3 linked regions of the Arabidopsis thaliana genome follow. The protein of the gene in region 3 interacts with the protein of the main gene of each other region in a pairwise test. Each region holds a gene or a part of one and is shown on either strand. Other genes may lie near its edges. The genes, in order: RBK2, NCRK and ARAC5.

Region 1 (5,977 bases), on a different chromosome or scaffold from region 3:
TTTTATATTTCGTAAAAATGGTATATTTTTCTTAGGATTTATTGTGTGTATATTGAGATAAAAACAATTTTGTTTAGGTAGGTTTTACCCCTTTCCGACCGATGAAATCAGAAATCTTCCCCGATGTAATGGCGCCGAGCACTGCTCCCATATTCAATATCGATCCGAAAACCGAAAACTAGATTCCAATAGAGAAAAAAAAAAAAAAAAGATTAAGCAAAATATTGTTAAACATGCATCTATAAACGTAGAAGACTTAATCAATTTAATATAAACCTGGGAATATGATAAATTAAGCTCTTCCATAATCCCAAACTGTGTTGGAGCGGAGTATCCCACCTATTAAAAAACAAACACAGATTTTCTCGTATCAAAAAGATTAATCGTCACAAATTCTTAGGTTCTCATCATCTTTTATTTCCAAAGTAATAGGTGTCGTAAAAGAATCTTACGCATGTTCCAAACTCGTAGGAACCGCAAACGGCAATGATCGTGCTTAGATAAACCATCCATGATGCTTCTTCTGAGACGTCGGATCCATTCTCCGGCAGCAGCAACGGCTCGGATTTGTCGTTCCTTTTCTCCATGTCGTCTTTTCTTGTCTCCATTTTCTTCGTAAAATGCCCTTTGAATTCAACGAATACTTATCAATTTTTATGTAGATAAAATATAGGATATATGATAAGAAACACAAGATTTGGATAACTCACCGGAGGAAATGAGAAGGCACCGTGTTTTTAGATCTAAAAACTCTGATTTGTTCCTAATTTATTGATATATATCATGTCTATATTTATCTCTGTATAAATCAGTACATGTAGCTAGGCTGGCTTAGCTAAAACCCATGCAGGATAATTTTGGACGAATTAGACAATTTGAATTAATTTATTCGAGATTTTATGAAAGTCCCAACTCCCAATGCATTATTACACGTTGGGGGTTCTCTATAGTTTTAATGTTGATTGACTAAACTTGAATTTTCTTAAGTAAGATAATTCAGAAGTAATTACATGGTATTTCATAGTAATAATATTCACTAATACTTTCCTCAAAAAATTCACAAATACTATGTACATTATGGATGCATTGTGTTACTGGGTAAGTAAGATGCATGGTTTGTTATTTTGTTTTCCTTTTTGGTGATGGTTTATGACATGCACAGTAACGTGTAATTGACTCAAAGGTTTGACCCGATAAGACAGTTGTTTTCCACAGATCCGATGCTCATGTGTTTTTTCCTGGCCCACCGCAAGATCCAAGCTGTGATGGATAGTTTTTTTTTTTTTTTTTTTCTATAAATGTGATGGATAGTTGATACTATAATAATTTCTAATTTGGGAGACAAAATCCAAAAAAAACTCTAGATCATATAGTATAAAACTACAGGGATTCAAAAGACAGTATTTGGATTTGTAGTTGGCCATGAGATATTCGTTTCCACTCCGCATTAACCACATAAGTAATGAATTATTCTTCTTCTCGTCATATGGGCTAATATCATTCAAATTCTTGCGAATGTAAGATGTATAGAAAAAACCGCCCACTATAGAAATCATCAAAATCTATGAAAATGATTTTGTCGCGGAAGTTGAACTGAGTCATTACAATTTGGACCCAGCGTCATTGAGCAAAAACCTATTTAATCGAGGGTACAGAAAGTTAGCGTAGGGACTATTGATAGATTGATAGAACAGAACAGTACCTAACAAGATTTACATAAATGATCGATGTCCCCTCTCTTATACAACAATGAAGTATTGAACAATCACTTCCAACATGATTGTGGTCCGTGGTTTAACTATCCAAAACTTATATAAGAGTCACTTGAAATAATATTTGTTAATCACAAAAATAAGAATCATAAAAATAAATAAACGGTGCAAAGCAATAAAGCCAATGCAGGTTTTAATGCAGGCTTTCTGCATCATATACACACAGAAAATATTCTATTCACAAGAAAGAAAATACAAAACAGAGTACTACTTGAATAAAAACATATAGAAAATTAAAGATAATTACTATCAGGTCGCAATATATACAAGAATGTCAATATCTACAATTGATTAGTAACAGTAAATGAAATTAGTAAAACTAAAACTACTTAGATTACTCAAGTTTGATCTTTTATAAATTCCTTATCAACAAGATAAAGAAAGTAGTTTTTTAAAACCTTAAAAGACCTAAATTAGGAATATGAGTTTGGATAACGAGACCGACAGATGAAGCGATTTTTAAGGACCCTTAACCCTTTCTGCCATAAATGAATGAAGCTAAGAGAATGCCTCTGAGTTCAATCCAAAAAGAGAAAATCAAAAGCATATTGCCAAATATAGGATTTAGTCATTTTAGAGTCTAACTATTAGCTTAACAAAAAAACTACTAGTAGATATACCATTGGTCAACGGAAAACAATTAAATTAGTAAATCAAATTTTAAACACACAGACAAAACCTTTTCTTTCGGGTGTCTCGAGACGAACACCAACTTCAAAACTTCTTTCTATTTTTATTTATTTTTGGTTTAAATGTTAACTTCTTTCTATTTCCTTTCTATGATCCTCTTCTCTATTTTTAGGTTTTCAGGTTTCTGAGAAAATCTTAAAAGTGTCCTACCAACACTCTTTCATGGCGGTAGACCAAAGCAAAGAAGCTTCTCCCGTGTGTTGTGCTCTTCCAATGTAATCATTCAATCAAATCACTTTTTTCTCTGTTTGTTCTTATATTTGATTTGAGTTTTTTTTTGGTAGACATGATATTAATGTCTAGAAGTTTATCTTCTGTTCTGTTATGATTTTCATTGATACTTAACGAACGTTTAAGCAGAATTAACGAACTTTCCCTGAATTTTCACCGATTTTCTCTTAATTTCCCGCAAAATTTACATAAGAACGACATGTTTAGTCTGTTCTTTTCTTTTGAATCTCCCGAGGCAGGTACAACTCTAAATATTCAAGTTATGTCACTGAAGAAGATCCAAACGACATAAATCATACGTCAAAACATAAAAGAACCAACGCGTTTCTTATGAATTCTGCTTCAGCTCATGGTAAAACCTAGCTCCTCTGTTTCCTCTGTTTCTATGTTTGCTCTGTTTTCTCTTGTCCTCTGTATTCTTATTCATTGCTTGTACACCAAAAAACCTAGCTTCTTCCAACGTTTTCTCTCCCTTCTCCTCCCAGATCTAAGATTACTAGAGGTAGATAAAGAGAAGCAAGACCCCAAATCACCAAGAGGAGCCCTCGAAGCCTGCTTAACTCGTTGCTCAATCTCTTCCGCTTCATCTTCATCTGACGATCCTCCTCCAAACAGAGAAGCTATCGACAATGCAGATGCAGACACAGACGTACAGTGCAAGAATCACAGAGCATCTTCTAATTGGGGAAAATTCTTCAAGCTATGGAAACGCAGATCCATGAAACGCCTCTCTTCCTTTCCTCCATTAAGTGGCGCCGCCCCACCGATCATCAAACAAAACAAAAGTGCAGATCCAAACATGAATGGCATGGTCCTTCACGATATCTACGATTTCCAATCATCTCTCCAAAACTTCTCAATATCTGACATCGAAATTGCAACTGACAATTTCAGTCCAGGTATCGAGTTTATCTTCATAACAATATACTCTCTTCTTTTTTACTTGAAGGACTGTTTGGTTGCTACTATTACTGCAATTAAAACGACGCTTCTATGCAGAAAACATTATCGGTAGAGGCGGTTACGCCGATGTATACCAGGGAATTCTACCGGAAGGAAAGCTAATCGCTGTGAAACGTTTGACAAAAGGCACACCGGACGAGCAAACAGCTGAGTTTCTATCGGAACTTGGGATTATTGCTCATGTTGATCATCCTAACACTGCCAAATTCATCGGTTGTTGCATCGAGGGTGGAATGCATCTCGTGTTCCGGCTATCTCCTCTTGGAAGCTTAGGCTCTCTCCTCCATGGTTTCTATATCCACCCATAAACTTAACGGATATACATATCGGGCTTTTAAGCTTATCATATCTAAATGCTCAAATTAATTTGTACAGGACCATCAAAATATAAGCTGACTTGGAGCAGACGTTACAATGTAGCGTTAGGAACAGCAGATGGACTAGTGTATCTTCATGAGGGTTGTCAAAGACGAATCATTCATCGAGACATCAAAGCTGATAATATTCTTCTCACCGAAGATTTTCAACCGCAGATTTGCGACTTCGGGTTAGCCAAATGGCTTCCCAAGCAATTGACACACCATAACGTATCCAAATTTGAGGGAACATTCGGGTAACAATTTGAAATTTTTTAGGAAAAGTTTTTTTTTATGTGGTTCAGTTGAGAATTTGGTTGGACAATGTTTTAGGTACTTTGCACCTGAATATTTCATGCACGGAATCGTGGACGAGAAGACTGATGTTTTCGCTTTTGGAGTTCTCCTCTTGGAGCTCATAACCGGACATCCTGCCCTTGACGAGTCTCAGCAGAGCCTTGTCTTATGGGTGAGTATATAGACCAGTTTGACATTTGAGGCTAAACCGGACCGGTTCACTATCCTTTTATCAGTCTGGTACGAGTTACGTTTCCTTTTTGCTTACAGGCTAAGCCGTTGCTAGAGAGAAAAGCTATAAAAGAATTGGTGGATCCATCTCTTGGAGATGAGTATAACCGAGAAGAGCTTATCCGGTTAACTTCCACGGCTTCTTTATGCATCGATCAATCTTCTCTTCTACGACCCCGGATGAGCCAGGTATAATATTGTAATTCCATCCCGGTTAAGGTTTCAAAGTGGGAAAGAACCAAATGTCAAATTCGTTTTGGTTCCGGTTTTGATACTGTTTCTTTAAATGTATCCAGGTTGTGGAATTATTACTAGGCCACGAAGATGTCGTAATGACTCCAAGAGAAGCGAAGATAAAGATGATGCAACGAACGTATTCCGAAGAATTATTAGATAGTGTAGAATATAACTCCACTAAGTACTTGGGAGATCTTGATCGCATTCGAGAGGTTGCTTTAGCCTCTTGAAATCGATCCAAATTATTATTATGTAAAACTATTTTGGTTTCTTTCATTGGTGAATGTAAATCGTTGGAAAAAATTACCAAAAAAAACTATTATGTGATCAAAATAGCTGAAATTTGTTTATGGATGGGAATGGAACAAACTAAATTAAAACCGGTTTAATTCCAGCTTAAATTCGGTTTATAATCACTCTCACTAGTCACTAGTATCACGTGGCAGTCACGTGCAACGTTGTTGGATTTACGTTACGAAAATATCTAAAAACAGAGAAGACTGATGTGATAAGATAAATCAAATCTTAAAATCTGGGCCCTGAATTTTGAATTTGCAAATTTACCCCCAAAGACGTTTCGTCTCTCTTCACACTGACCATCGAAATCCTCAAAAAACCCTAATCACCGCCACCACTTTTTTTGCAACCTTCGAGAATCCTCAAAACGATGGCCAAGAAGAAAGCGTCGCGTAACAGTAACGACACCGCTAATGATAACCGACAACAACAACATGACCAGAAAGCACCGGAGACTGACAAGAAAGCCACGGTACTTAGCCGTCAGTCTTCCATGGAAGAACACGATTCTTCGGAGGAGCAATTCCAGAATTTGAAGTCTCTTAATGCGATGCTTCTCAAACAAGCTATGGAGAAGAGAAACCAGATCGATTCGCTGGTTCAGGCCAAGGATGAATTGGAGACCGAGTTAGCTCGTTATTGTCAGGAGAAGACTGGGTTGCGTGACGAGTTGGATCAGGTGAGTGATGAGAATTTCGGGTTGAAGTTTGAATTGGATTTTGTTATTGTGTTTGTTGAGAGCCAGTTTAGAGAGATGTGTGTTGGAGTTGATATGTTGGTGAAGGAGAAGAGTGATAGAGAGAGTGAGATTAGGGTTTTGAAAGGGGAAGCGATTGAGCTTACGGGTAAGGTTGAGATTGAGAAGGAACAGTTGAGGAAGGTTTGTGATGAGAGGGACTTAAT
Region 2 (7,361 bases), on a different chromosome or scaffold from region 3:
AAGATTTTTGTATGTTGTGATCGTTGTGTAGTTAACCATTCAGAGGATGTCGTTGAAGGTGGTGTTCAGCCTCCTAACGTCTTACATAGCAGATTAACAGTCAATGCATCAGCGGTTACGTCTCTTCCCAACAATCATATGGGACAGAGTCCTCGGTTACATTTATCTTCGTTCAGTGACATATGTGACCACGAGCTGGAGAAGCTGAGCAGAGAACAAGGGACCTTACTGAAAAGCTTTGAAGAGACGGTTAGTCTTTTTCTAATTCTTGGTTAATCTATCTTTATTCGGTTTCCTGTCCTCTCTGCTCATTGTCTCGTTGTTTGTAAGCAGACATTAGAGTTGAAGGCTGAACTCGAGAGGAAGATGGCGGAAGCACGCAGTGAGTATGATAGGAAATCCCAAGAGGTAGATGCTGCGTATAACGCTCAAGCGAAGAAGAATGAAGCGTTAAGGAGTTTGGTTGTTATGAACAGTCTCTTGGCGAATGCTTACAAGTCTACTTGTCCAGTGAAGAGTGCAGCCACTGATACTGCTACCGTAAGAGGTAAAGTTGAAGAGTATAATTGGATAAAGCAAATGAGCTAAACAGCGACACTAATTCTCTTCCCTTTTTTTAGCACCCAGGAGCTCTCAACATTCAACGCAGCAGCAGCAAGCAGTGCAAACTAACAGGCATATGAATTCAACTGCTCCTCCTCGACCCTCAGTCACAGCAGCTGAACCTATGAATTCGGCTGCTCCTCCTCGACCCTCAGTCACAGCAGCTGAACCTATGAATTCAACTGCTCCTCCTCGACCCTCAGTCACAGCAGCGGAAGCTACACCTCCAAATCTTTCAGCTCCTCTCCCGCACTGCAACACTCCTCAACCAAGTCCAATATCTCAGCAAGCAGCAGTAGAATCAAACACACAGATGCAATCAACCGCCCTTCCTCGACCCTCTGTTACAGCAGAAGCTCGTCCTTTACATCAACCACACAGCAACACGTCTCAGCCAAGACCAATACCACAACAAGCATTAGCACAATCCAACACAAATATCACTTCAACCGCCCTTCCTCGACCCTCAATCACAGCAGAAGCTCGTCTGTTACATCAACCACACAGCAACACGCCTCAGCCAAGACCAATACCTCAGAAAGCTTTAGTACAAGCCAACACAGATATCAATTCAACCGCCCTTCCTCGACCCTTAGTCACAGCAGAAGCCCCTCCTTTACATCAATCAAGCTGCAAGGCTCCTCAGCCAAAACCAATATCTCAGCAACCAGCAGTACAATCCAAGACGGATATCATCAATTCAACCGCCCTTCCTCGACCCTCAGTCACAACAGAAGCCCGTCCTTTACATCAACCACGCAGCAAAACGCCTCAGCCAAAACCAGTATCTCAACCACCAGCAAAACAATCAAACACAGAAATCAATTCAACTCCCCATCCTCGACCCTCAGTCACATCAAAAGCTATATCTCTGCAATCACCGCCCTGCAACACACCTCAGCCAAGACCACCGCCTTTAATCTCCAACCATACTCCAACTTCTTATCAACCAGCTTCTGCTCCACCAGTGCATGGTATAGCGCGAAGGACCATGGCACCTCATTTAAGATCATCTCGAGCTCCCAACTCTGCTGCTGCACCATCAACATATCCAAGGTTGGCTCAAGAACAACAAAAGCAACAACAAAAGAAGTCAAACAGTAGCTTGGTCTATCTCTCAGATGACGACTAGTGACAAATCTTTGGGAGTATATAACATCAGTATATAGTTTTTGAAGTTTCTCTTAAGGGAATATATAAGTTCGAGAGGCCCTTTAAAACATTTGAGAATGCCTTGTACGAAGGATCATTTCGAATACTAATTTTTTGGAGAATATCAAGTAAGTTAACTAAAATATTTTTCACAAATTTGCAGTTTAATCAAAATTTATTTACATAATTCTGTTATTTTTACTCTATAGGAATTTTCAAAATACTTTTTTTCTCCTTACTTCGAGTTTTGAAAATATTTTTCATGCAGCGAATCTCTGATATCAATTTAGCGCCACGTGGCACGTGACATACCCCGATCTCTAATAAATGAACTCTTTTTAAAATCGCCCCCCTCGATACATCAGTTCACTAGTTTAGTGACTCCACTCGACCACAAACGCTAACGCAAACGCAGTCGCGTGGACTCCTCTGTTTATTTCGCGTTTTAGATTTCTTAATTCTCATTCTGATTTGACTGTGGAAAGGGATTCGTTTCTCCTTCAAGGAAAAAGTTTTATCTTTGCTGGAAACTCAACTACAAACGCGGTTTTGCTCCATTTCGCGTTTGCGTTTTAGCTCCAATGCTGGTACTCTCTGTTCTACTATAAGCTGTAGCAAGCTCCAAATCCTCAAAAATCGACATTGTTGCTTCTTCATATTAAGGTGGGTTTCTCATTAAATATGCGTTTTCAATTCATTTCCCTACATGTATGAAGAAATCATGAAATGGGGTTCCCCAAAAACTTCACCTTTTACTTGGAGAGAGCATCATTGAATTTGTGGGACATGATTCTTTCCATCAAAAAGTTAGATTTTTTCGGTCAATGGTGGAGGAAACAGGTCCTACAATCGAAAACCGGTTTTTTAAACCGGTTTCCGACAACCGACACCGGGAATTGTGAGTCCCACAATCAAAAACCGGGTTTTAAACCGGTTCCTGACAACCGACACCGGAAATTCTGGGTCCTAACAAATTTCAACAGTTTGCTTCGACCAACGTTTTGCTTTTCCTTAAAAGCAAAGTCCTTTTTGGCTCTATCTAATTTGGTTTGTCTATAATTTTGGATCAAGAATCTACAATGTCAAGTTCATAAAGAAAGAGTCATGTGAGCTAAGTTACAGTATCATCATATAGTTCTTGTTAAGATTCACAAAATCTAATATTTATCAATTTTGGTAAAGTTTAAGATGTTTTGATTATAATATAAAGATTTTGCCATTAGTAAACAGTTTAAAGTTAAGAGCTTTTCAATGATTCTGCCTCTTTGATTACTATAATGGTTGAAAGGTCACTCTCAGATTTGCAATGCCCGTTTCTTTCTATTGGTGGTTGGTCTGTTTTCATTCCATTTATTATTGTATTTGCCATTCTTTGACTAATCCTATACTCAATCATTTCTTTAATCACATTATTTTAGTAATCAATATCCTTCAAGATGCTCCATTACTTCTTTTTAATATCCTCTTGTCTGCAACTTCCTTTTCTTGACTCTGTAGTTCTTACTTCAACTTCACCACTTTGCAGGGTAATGTAATCTATATTAGCTCTCTTGTTTGGTTCTTTTAGTGTTTTGGTTGTTGTGTTATGATGTTTGTTGTCTGTATGTGAAAACATAGCCAACTAACTTTAGAGGGAACTAAAGATTTTGCAGAATCAGATGAGTGACAATGGATCTTTAAATGATTGATGTGGACCGTATATCTATCGCTATGAGTTTCTTGTTTTCTCTTCTAACTCTGGGCCCTTTTAAGAATTGGAGACTCTTGACCAAATCATAGAATGTTTTTGGTTCATAGTGGGTGTAACAGAGTTAGAATCTTTTCGATGTCTGTTCACCAACTCATTCATTCACATTACACTGTAGTTTTACCTGTGAATTCTATAAAAATTCTACTCTACTTGTAATCTGGTCTAATCTAAACATAACTTGTTTCAGGTTTTAGATTCTTGCACTCTTGGAGGTTGAGCTTAGTTCGACATGAAGGTCTTTATCTAATCTCCACTCGCTGGCAATGAAGATGAGAGTGGAAACCGCACTTGCGATCCTTTTGGTTCTCATATCAATTCAACAATGTTATGGAGGTTAGTTTCTACTCAGCAACATATATAAAAACATGGTGTGAGTTTCATTTAAATTGATGACGTTTCTTTGTTAGGTGTAAGCAACTATACATGTACGTGTTTCTCTTCGGGCAATCGAAGTGATATCCTGGAATCTAACTGTTCCACATCATGTAATTGCAGACCAGGTTCGTTTTCTCTTTACCAACTAGAAAATTTTCAATATTCTAGAGAAAACTAACTTTTTGACTCTCTCTTTTGTTAGCAGACAGAGATCAATGGGTATGTTTGTGTCCTGCAAATGGATTTCCGGTTATAGCCATTGGTGGTTCAAATTCGTCATGCTTCACTTCATGCAACTGCTCTGCTGGTATAGTTTACTATATCCATTGTTCTACTGCAAACTTAGTCGATTATATCATAAGTTGGTCTACTTACTTGTTTCCAGGTGCTACAAAATCTTCAAAGAAGCAATATTTATCGAGGAAACTCGTTATAGTTATACTACTCTTCTGCGGTGTACTCATTTCACTAGCATTCCTTGCCTCTATGATTTGTTACATTTGTAGAAAGGACAAGTTTTCTGGACAAACCCCTTCAGTCTCTTCAGATAGAGAATCTAGCTGGCATAGCTCTGCTAACTTAATAAACCGTAAAAGCTCGGTTTCACAATCGAAAATTAGCATCAGCTCCTCAGTGGCAGGTCAATCATTTTTACCCTCTTACTTTCTTTGAGTTGATACGTTAAACAGAAGAGGAAATAAGAACTTGTTTTTGTTTTGTTTTCTTCAGGTTGCTTCTTTCAGAATGCTTCTTTGTTTTGTGTGAGCAAACCTGAAACAATCCATGGAGCTATCTTTCAGTTCTCATACACAGAATTAGAGCAAGCAACCAATAAATTCTCAAGTAACAGTGTAATAGGACATGGAGGAAGTAGTTGTGTTTACCGTGGACAGCTCAAAGACGGTAAAACCGCTGCGATCAAACGTCTAAATACCCCTAAAGGAGACGACACTGACACTCTATTCTCAACAGAGGTACTAATCTCATTTCTCCTACTTCTCATTTGGAATTCATATTTGATCCAATGTCTTTATTAATGTTCTCACAGGTAGAGTTATTATCAAGACTCCATCATTACCATGTGGTACCGTTAATTGGATATTGTTCGGAGTTTCATGGCAAACATGCAGAGAGGCTTCTGGTTTTTGAGTACATGTCTTATGGAAGTCTAAGAGATTGCTTAGATGGAGAGTTAGGGGAGAAAATGACATGGAACATCCGAATCTCTGTCGCTCTTGGAGCTGCAAGAGGACTTGAGTATCTTCATGAAGCTGCCGCTCCAAGAATCTTACACCGAGATGTGAAATCCACAAATATTCTCCTTGATGAGAATTGGCATGCAAAAGTAAGTATACACAAACATTTTCAGTGTTCAATGAGGCTAAATTTGAAGTTTTAATGCACATAACATTTTTACAGATAACAGATCTTGGGATGGCTAAGTGTTTGAGTAGCGATGGTTTACAAAGCGGTTCAAGCTCTCCAACCACAGGACTACAAGGAACATTTGGCTACTTTGCACCTGAATACGCAATTGCAGGATGTGCTTCACAGATGTCAGATGTTTTCAGCTTTGGTGTTGTTCTACTCGAGCTTATAACCGGAAGGAAACCGATACAGAAACCAAGCAACAACAAAGGCGAAGAAAGCCTAGTTATATGGGTAATTAACACTGGTTTATGAATCTTTAGTTGTAGCTTTAGCCAACAAATTTCAAGTCTCTGAAACTTATTTGTTCTGTGGTGTGTTAGGCTGTGCCACGGTTACAAGATAGTAAGCGGGTGATCGAGGAACTGCCTGATCCGCGGCTAAACGGGAAGTTTGCGGAAGAAGAGATGCAGATAATGGCGTATCTTGCTAAAGAGTGTTTGCTTTTGGATCCAGAAAGTAGACCAACAATGAGAGAAGTTGTTCAGATTCTTTCAACCATCACACCAGACACATCATCCAGACGTAGAAATTTCCCCATTAATTATCTTTTCCAGGTATGTTTTACATGAAAACAACGTGTATATTAGCGTTTGAAACAATCGACCCTTACTATCGGCGACATTTGTTTTCGCAGAGTAACGAGAAGAAGAAAGAAAGCAAAGTGGGATGGTCAAGAGGAGGGAGCAAGAGTGGACAGGAAGAGGAAACAGTGGATCTGACTGAGCCACGGTTCGAGTCATTCTGCTTGCCGAATGTGAAGCCGGTCTTGCTTGAACCATCTGCACATATTTAAAAAGTAGATAGAAAAGCACAGAACAAAAACTGCCATTTCGCACTGTGTAGATAAAAAGCTCACTCTGACGAGAGTGAAGCGTTGAGACTTGAGAGTTTACTACAAGTGAGAGTGTCAAGATTTGTTCTAAACTAGAGGACTTTTAATTGATAATTTTAATAAATATATTTAACAAAATGTACACAAGAGTTATTATTCACAAGATTTGCTATATTTTTTTATTTGGAAAAAAATGGTTAAGTCAGAATTGATTCATTGTTAAAAAAATCGAAATGAGCATGGCCATTATGTATTGTAAAGAGTTCGTGTCAACCACTACACTCTAGGAACCGGCCTTGCATACACAATTACACATACATAATGGGCATGTTCATTTTTTCATTTGGATAATTCATAAAATTTGGATTATTAGATGTTATGCAAAGTAGAGTTTAGATAGCAAATATTGCATCAAAACCGACTAAAAGGCTAGAATACCTCTAAATCATGTAAAAATAATTGTATGAAGATTTATTAATTTACGTCACTGATGATTTTCTTTGTAAGTTTGTTTTGTAAAAGAACAAGCTATCATATGTAAATAGCATTGTGAGATTAGAACAATACTTGATTGAGTTATTTTTAGTGCCAAGATCCTTCTCTCCGCCTCAACCACTCTAAGTTGGAAGGTAAATAGGAGCGTATCCTTATCGACTCTTGATGGGCTATGCAGCCTTTTGCTTCTCCACTAATGAGGACTTAATACGATATAGAGGTGATACATCATATATTCCTACACACATGTTTGGGAAAAACCGAGTCTAAGTATGAAAATTTCAAAGATGTTATATCCAACATAATCATATGTTTTGCTCATATGTTTTTAATACTAAGAACTATTTTCTATAGTCTTGATTACTTAATATTAGAATTTAGAAGACTAGAAGTTTTCATGCCCTATGAGAATAAGCAAAATGCTAAATTTTCCGGCTACAATCTACGGTATTAAGTTTGAACGAACTATTTTCAATCTTTTGCAAAGATTTTTCAAGATAGTTGAAGTTAACCAAAATCTTTGATCGAAGAGAGTCGTCGTTCCATATGGTAAGTTTATACATTGTGACTGATTTTACAAATGTTTAGGAAAAGTAATTGGGTAGTATAGTAACATCATTACATCAACATGTTGGATAATCGAAGAAAGAGAAGGTGGGGGATGATGGGATCAATCAAGAAAAGCCCATATGGTGTGTTCCACAGACTGGACGAATCAAACCC
Region 3 (5,428 bases):
GCATCTCAATACTAAAAATGTTTTTTTCATATACAACAGGTACATTTACTTCTTTGAGAAAGGGAATCCACATATCACTCCATCTGATATACAGAGCCTCATAGAATTGATCAACAATGAGATGCAAAGCGACAACGGTAACACGACAATCCACTCAGATCCCTTCTTTACAAGTACATTGCGTTACATTAAGTTCATAAAACAGAAAGGTGGTTTGATGGGTGAGAAATATGACCCTATCAAGCTGTGACTTAAATCCGAGACACAAGCCTCATCAAATCCCGAGAGGAATTCTCTGTATTTTCCAAAGAAATGTTGGAAACTCTGAAAAGGAAGTGTACACTACACATGTTTGTTTTCTTTTCGGTCTTATTACAAAATGGAGAAAACCTTTGTAATTGTTATTTTCTTTGTTCCTTATACTCACCTCACCTGTGTGTATAGAATCCTCGTTTCTGTAAACCATTCTTTGAAACTATGCCTCAATTCAACGATGTCTCTAATCTTATTGTATATAGAGATCTATCTCAAGATGTTCTTCGTTGTCTGAATCTAATTACATACCAATACAAGACCATAAGATCAACGGAAGCTTAAAAAAAGTCACTAAAAAATTAATTAAGATTTCTGTTAAAGAAAATACAAAATGGACCCCAACAGCAAAAACAAAGACAACATAGTATTAAGAGATTAGTCTACATAGCAAAAGTACAACAACAACAACAACACACCAAGAAAAGAACACATCCCCTTCTCTTACCCAGAATCCTCCTCTTGGCCTCAGTTCACTCATTAGATTCACCAGCAAAAAGAAGAGTAAAGACCGAAACAAGCCGGATTCAACAACTATACAATGTTGCAGGTGTTCGTTTTCCTTCAGCTTCTTTTGTTACCTAAACCTTTTTTCGTTTTAAGAGATGTTCGATCACAAGAACACGCAGCGGTTCTTGTTCTTTTTCTTCTTCTTCTGTTTCGGTGGCTGAAGCACCACTTTTATGGCTGCGTCAAAGACTGCTTTCACATTCTGCAAAACCCAACAATCAACATTTTCACTGTCTTACCAAATACAAAAATCCCAAACAAAAAGACATGTGAGATATTATTTATGTGTGTAGTATACCTGCTGAGTCTTTGAACTACATTCAATGTAGATTGGTGATCCTATCAGTTTCTTTAGTTCCTCTCCCTGCAGACAAACAACTAAAGATCAAGAACTCGCAAAGCAAAAAACACTATTGTTTTAAAGAATTGTGGAGTTATGTACCTGGTTTGTAGTAATAGGCACTGCACCAGGATGGTCTATGAAGAATTGCTTGTCATCTCGAAGATCTGCAAATTCCAAAACTTGAATTATTATTCATCTCTTTCTTATTATAAGGAAAGAGTTTTTAGACAAGAAGAGAGTCAATACCGAGTTTCGTTCCAACGAGGATTATAGGAACACCAGGGGCATAATGCCTAAGCTCAGGAATCCACTGAAATAAAGAAAAAAAAAAAAAAAAAAGCAAATGAAGGAACCAATTCAAAATCAGCTTAACGAAAGTTATTACTATCAAATGAAAGACGTTAGATCAACAAAAAGCTAACCTTCTTGGCTACATTCTCGTAGCTAGCTTTGCTAATAAGCGAGAATGCAAGAATGAAGACATCGGCACCACGGTAACTCAACGGTCTTAACCTGTTATAGTCTTCTTGACCTGCACAAACCCAAGAATTATCAGTCAAAATGAAACCACAAAAAAACAAGAAAACCAGATTTGATGAGTTTCAAAAGGATTATTTACCAGCTGTATCCCACAATCCAAGATTCACCGTGTTCCCATCTACAACCACATTAGCACTGAAGTTGTCGAAAACAGTTGGAACATAGTCCTGATATTCAGTAACCAAGTCATAGAGTTTGTTAAACTAAAACACACACAATAGTGGATCATCATTAACACACACAATAATGGAAAAGATTATAGATCCTCATATCTGCAAATTTGACTAATACATACAAATTGAACATGAAGTCCAAAATGAAAGAAGAACAATGCTCATAGGTAAAGATAAATAACAAAGAAGCTAAATCCATGGAAGCATCAATAAAAGTTCTGAAGAAACATGTCAAGAATTGATTTTTACAATTTTTACCAGCTAATCAATCACATTCAAGAACAAAGATGAATAATCTCCAAAAACCCATTTTCAAAGAATGCTTCAAGATCACTACTGAGAGCAAAAGGAAGAAACTTTACCGTAGGGAAAGTGTTGCTTGTGTAAGAAATCAGCATACAAGTTTTTCCGACGGCACCATCGCCGACGGTGACACACTTTATAAACCTCGAAGCACTCATCTCCGCAGCAAATTCACAAACTCAAAAAAAGAACCCTTTTGCACTTCTTCTTCCTCAAATCCCAGCCATTCCCAAGAATCAAGAAACAATCTTTTCTAACTCAAGAAAAAACCCTAATCCCGAATCGTAGTAGAACACGGGTAAATTCAAAAGTAGCAAGCCAAATCGATGAGAGATAATAATGGCAAAAGAATGAGGAAAATCTTTGCTTTTTCTTTAATTTGCAATGTGTTTTGGGCCGTTGATGATTCTGAGATGAGCTTTTCAATACCAACCTTATGCCAGCTATTTGCTACACCAAACAACACCTTATCATTTACACTCACCCCACTTTAGTATTTCTTTTAAATAATACTAATTTTGAGCACTTTTAATTTTGAATTTGAATACAAATTGAGAAATTATCCGTTGTAATGAGTTTTTTTTTTTCTTTTCCTTTTCTGTATAGTAGAAATATCTTTTTACATTATGAAATTACTATCTGTTTTATGAGATTAGCTAAACTACCACCAAAATAAAAACCTAATTCACTAATAAACATGGATTTTTTTTTTAATTTTCTTTTAACAAAAACTAATGTTTTCTAATTTGACCATAGTTGTTAACCTAATTGACAATTATAAAAAAAAAAGACAGCAAATAAATAAAGATTATAATTTTTAAGAAAAAAAACTAAGAGTAAAGCATAATAAACGACCAAACTATGGGGAGGGAGGGCATGAAATTGCCAAATATTAATCATTGGATTGGGACGACTCTCGTCAAGAACGTGCGACTTAGTGTTACGGCACCATTTCATTCCTTTTTCTCAAATCCCTTATCAAATTAATATGGTTTAATTTTGTCAAGAGTGTCTTTGTCTTTGTTTTTATAGTTGTAATTTTAAAGAGTTTTCTTCATCTTTACGACATAAGAATCGAAAAATCTTACACGAACGTGCTCAACTCTCTTTCAACCTACCAATGAGCATACGACACATCATGAATTGTCCCACATTAGATTTATCCAAATCATACGGTCGCATTATTACAGTTTGCTTCTAAAGGACCAAGGACACATCAAAATTTCACCAATTATATTTATATGAACTAATATTCAATCATACCAAACTAAAGAAGGGGTTAGAGTTAGCTCTACGCTTCTACCTACTCTCAACCAAAAACACCTTTACCCATTCATTCTGATTCTTACATGAAATGAATTTCAGGCTTTATGATTTTTTTTATAAGAAATTTGATAATGATTGATCATGAAATCTAGTGCTTCTATTTAAAGCGACTTATTTGAAAATGAATAAACTTTACATTAGTGATTCAAGTGACAATATGGAGTGCCATAAGGGCCATAACACAAAGGCACAAACACACTAACACAACTGGAAGCTAGAAAAGACAATAACACGAAGGCTCACACTTGAGGCCCAGTAGCGAATTAAGGCCCATTATGACAACTCTTGAAATATCATGATTAGTGACCATTTTTGCCACCAGGGCCCATGGGGTACTTGGTTTGGTGAGACTCCAAATGAATTGACTGCCTAGTGCATGCTTATCCACGAAACAAGAGTTTTTACTTGTTTATTTTGGAATGTAGTAATTCATCTGTCATAGAAGAAGAGTAAAATATGTTATGTTTTAAAACATTATCCAATTTTTTTTTATTTTTTTGTTGCGTAATTAGTATATAGATAAGATGTAGTAGACTAAAGTTTGTCGGTTTCTCAGTCATTCAACATTTGTTAAAGCTTTAAAGGCATAGTGCTAAAGTTTGACAAGTGGAAACAGTCTCCATAATAGATGGCGCACATAGTTAATTGTGTCTAACAATGGCTGCGGTCGACTGATGGCCCATAGTTTGACAAGTACAAACAGTCTCCATAACAGATTTGCCTCTGTCTTTAAGCAAATCGACAGGAGCACATTAATTAGAGACACTCTCCTGGCTCGAAGGTACCGCAAAGGCCGCGGTGACTGCTCTCTCAATGGTTTTCCCATGCCTAGCTCGTAATAGTTCTCTATTTGTAATCTTTGCGTTTATTAGTTTCTGAGGCTTTTTAAAAAACAAATTGTCTTAGAAGCTATTTGTCCCAAAGATTTTTGCAAGTAACAATGTTTCCATTTTGGTAATTAATCACATTTCAAAAAAAAAAAAAAACTCACATTTTATCAAAAAAAGAAGAAAAATTGTGTCTAACAAAAACATATGCATTGCTTAGTACTGAAAATTTAAAACATGGTTGAGACTTGAGACATTGGGCCCATATATGCAATATAGAGCCATACGGTAATACATTTATGAGAGATTTTTACGACTTTTCTGAATCAACCTCGAACTATAAATTATAAAACAGTCACATGTTATTCTAGTTAGACTTCAAGTAGTGAGAAATTCAGTAAAAAGAACAGTCAAACCCACAAATTTCTGTTACATTATTTAACAATGAAAACACACAAATATCTGTTGTAATAGAGTAATAAGTAAGCAAGCATACGTACAGTGTGATACACAGTACAAATCTAACATCAGATACTAGCTTGAGATAATTTAATATTAATATGGGTGCAGGAAATTTTTGCCACGCTGGTTCAAACTCCATAGAAGTAACAGTTTTGTTTATATTAACATAATTTACAAATCTTGGAATTGGGATATCTATAGATATTTTTTGAATAACCACATAACTAGCTGATCAGCATGAACATTCTAGATATCAGTCTTGTAAATTGACATAATTTTGGTGGAAACATACATTTGGTATTCTTCTCCGAAACCGCCTGTTTTTTACATTGTAGCCGAGCCTAAGTACAATAAATAAAAATTCAAAGATGTCAACACAAGACCTCGTTTTTTAAAGTTGAATTAGCTAGGTAAATCTCTTTGGTATATAATTAAGTCGGAGATTGTGTTATGTAGCTAGCTCTCTTTTATGTATAAGCTGAATACTCTTTATTATAAGCAGTTTTTATGAAATACTATAACATATTCCTCCGATTCTCTATTTTCAAATAATCGTTTGTGTTGTGTTGGAGTTTTGCAGACAAATATGGACAAGAAGAAACAGTAGTATACGTCGTACGTAAAAGTTTATC

The links.
Region 1: the proteins of ARAC5 (region 3) and RBK2 interact in a two-hybrid assay, tested with the Arabidopsis thaliana proteins (one study listed by BioGRID).
Region 2: the proteins of ARAC5 (region 3) and NCRK interact in a two-hybrid assay, tested with the Arabidopsis thaliana proteins (one study listed by BioGRID).

What each region holds. Positions count from the first base shown.
Region 1 is NC_003074.8:1,434,847-1,440,823, reverse strand, and holds RBK2 (ROP binding protein kinases 2), read left to right. Parts: upstream 1-2,284; 5' UTR 2,285-2,624; coding exon 2,625-2,677; exon of another isoform or gene 2,678-2,932; coding exon 2,933-3,045; intron 3,046-3,178; coding exon 3,179-3,592; intron 3,593-3,692; coding exon 3,693-3,944; intron 3,945-4,031; coding exon 4,032-4,269; intron 4,270-4,345; coding exon 4,346-4,481; intron 4,482-4,579; coding exon 4,580-4,729; intron 4,730-4,836; coding exon 4,837-5,007; 3' UTR 5,008-5,140; downstream 5,141-5,977. Other genes in the region: AT3G05150 (Major facilitator superfamily protein), read right to left, coding at 89-178, 277-339, 453-608; AT3G05130 (paramyosin-like protein), read left to right, coding at 5,445-5,977.
Region 2 is NC_003071.7:12,040,236-12,047,596, forward strand, and holds NCRK (Protein kinase superfamily protein), read left to right. Parts: upstream 1-2,112; 5' UTR 2,113-2,418; intron 2,419-2,471; exon of another isoform or gene 2,472-3,692; 5' UTR 3,693-3,768; coding exon 3,769-3,838; intron 3,839-3,912; coding exon 3,913-4,005; intron 4,006-4,085; coding exon 4,086-4,187; intron 4,188-4,265; coding exon 4,266-4,520; intron 4,521-4,609; coding exon 4,610-4,854; intron 4,855-4,928; coding exon 4,929-5,225; intron 5,226-5,299; coding exon 5,300-5,542; intron 5,543-5,631; coding exon 5,632-5,865; intron 5,866-5,945; coding exon 5,946-6,104; 3' UTR 6,105-6,381; downstream 6,382-7,361. Other genes in the region: AT2G28240 (ATP-dependent helicase family protein), read left to right, coding at 32-249, 334-547, 621-1,735.
Region 3 is NC_003070.9:28,472,875-28,478,302, reverse strand, and holds ARAC5 (RAC-like GTP binding protein 5), read right to left. Parts: upstream 2,655-5,428; 5' UTR 2,340-2,654; coding exon 2,241-2,339; intron 1,873-2,240; coding exon 1,785-1,872; intron 1,698-1,784; coding exon 1,588-1,697; intron 1,476-1,587; coding exon 1,412-1,475; intron 1,330-1,411; coding exon 1,265-1,329; intron 1,187-1,264; coding exon 1,121-1,186; intron 1,025-1,120; coding exon 926-1,024; 3' UTR 501-925; downstream 1-500. Other genes in the region: VPS35B (VPS35 homolog B), read left to right, coding at 40-250. UniProt on the Arabidopsis thaliana protein: Involved in cell polarity control during the actin-dependent tip growth of root hairs, thus regulating root hair length and root hair initiation.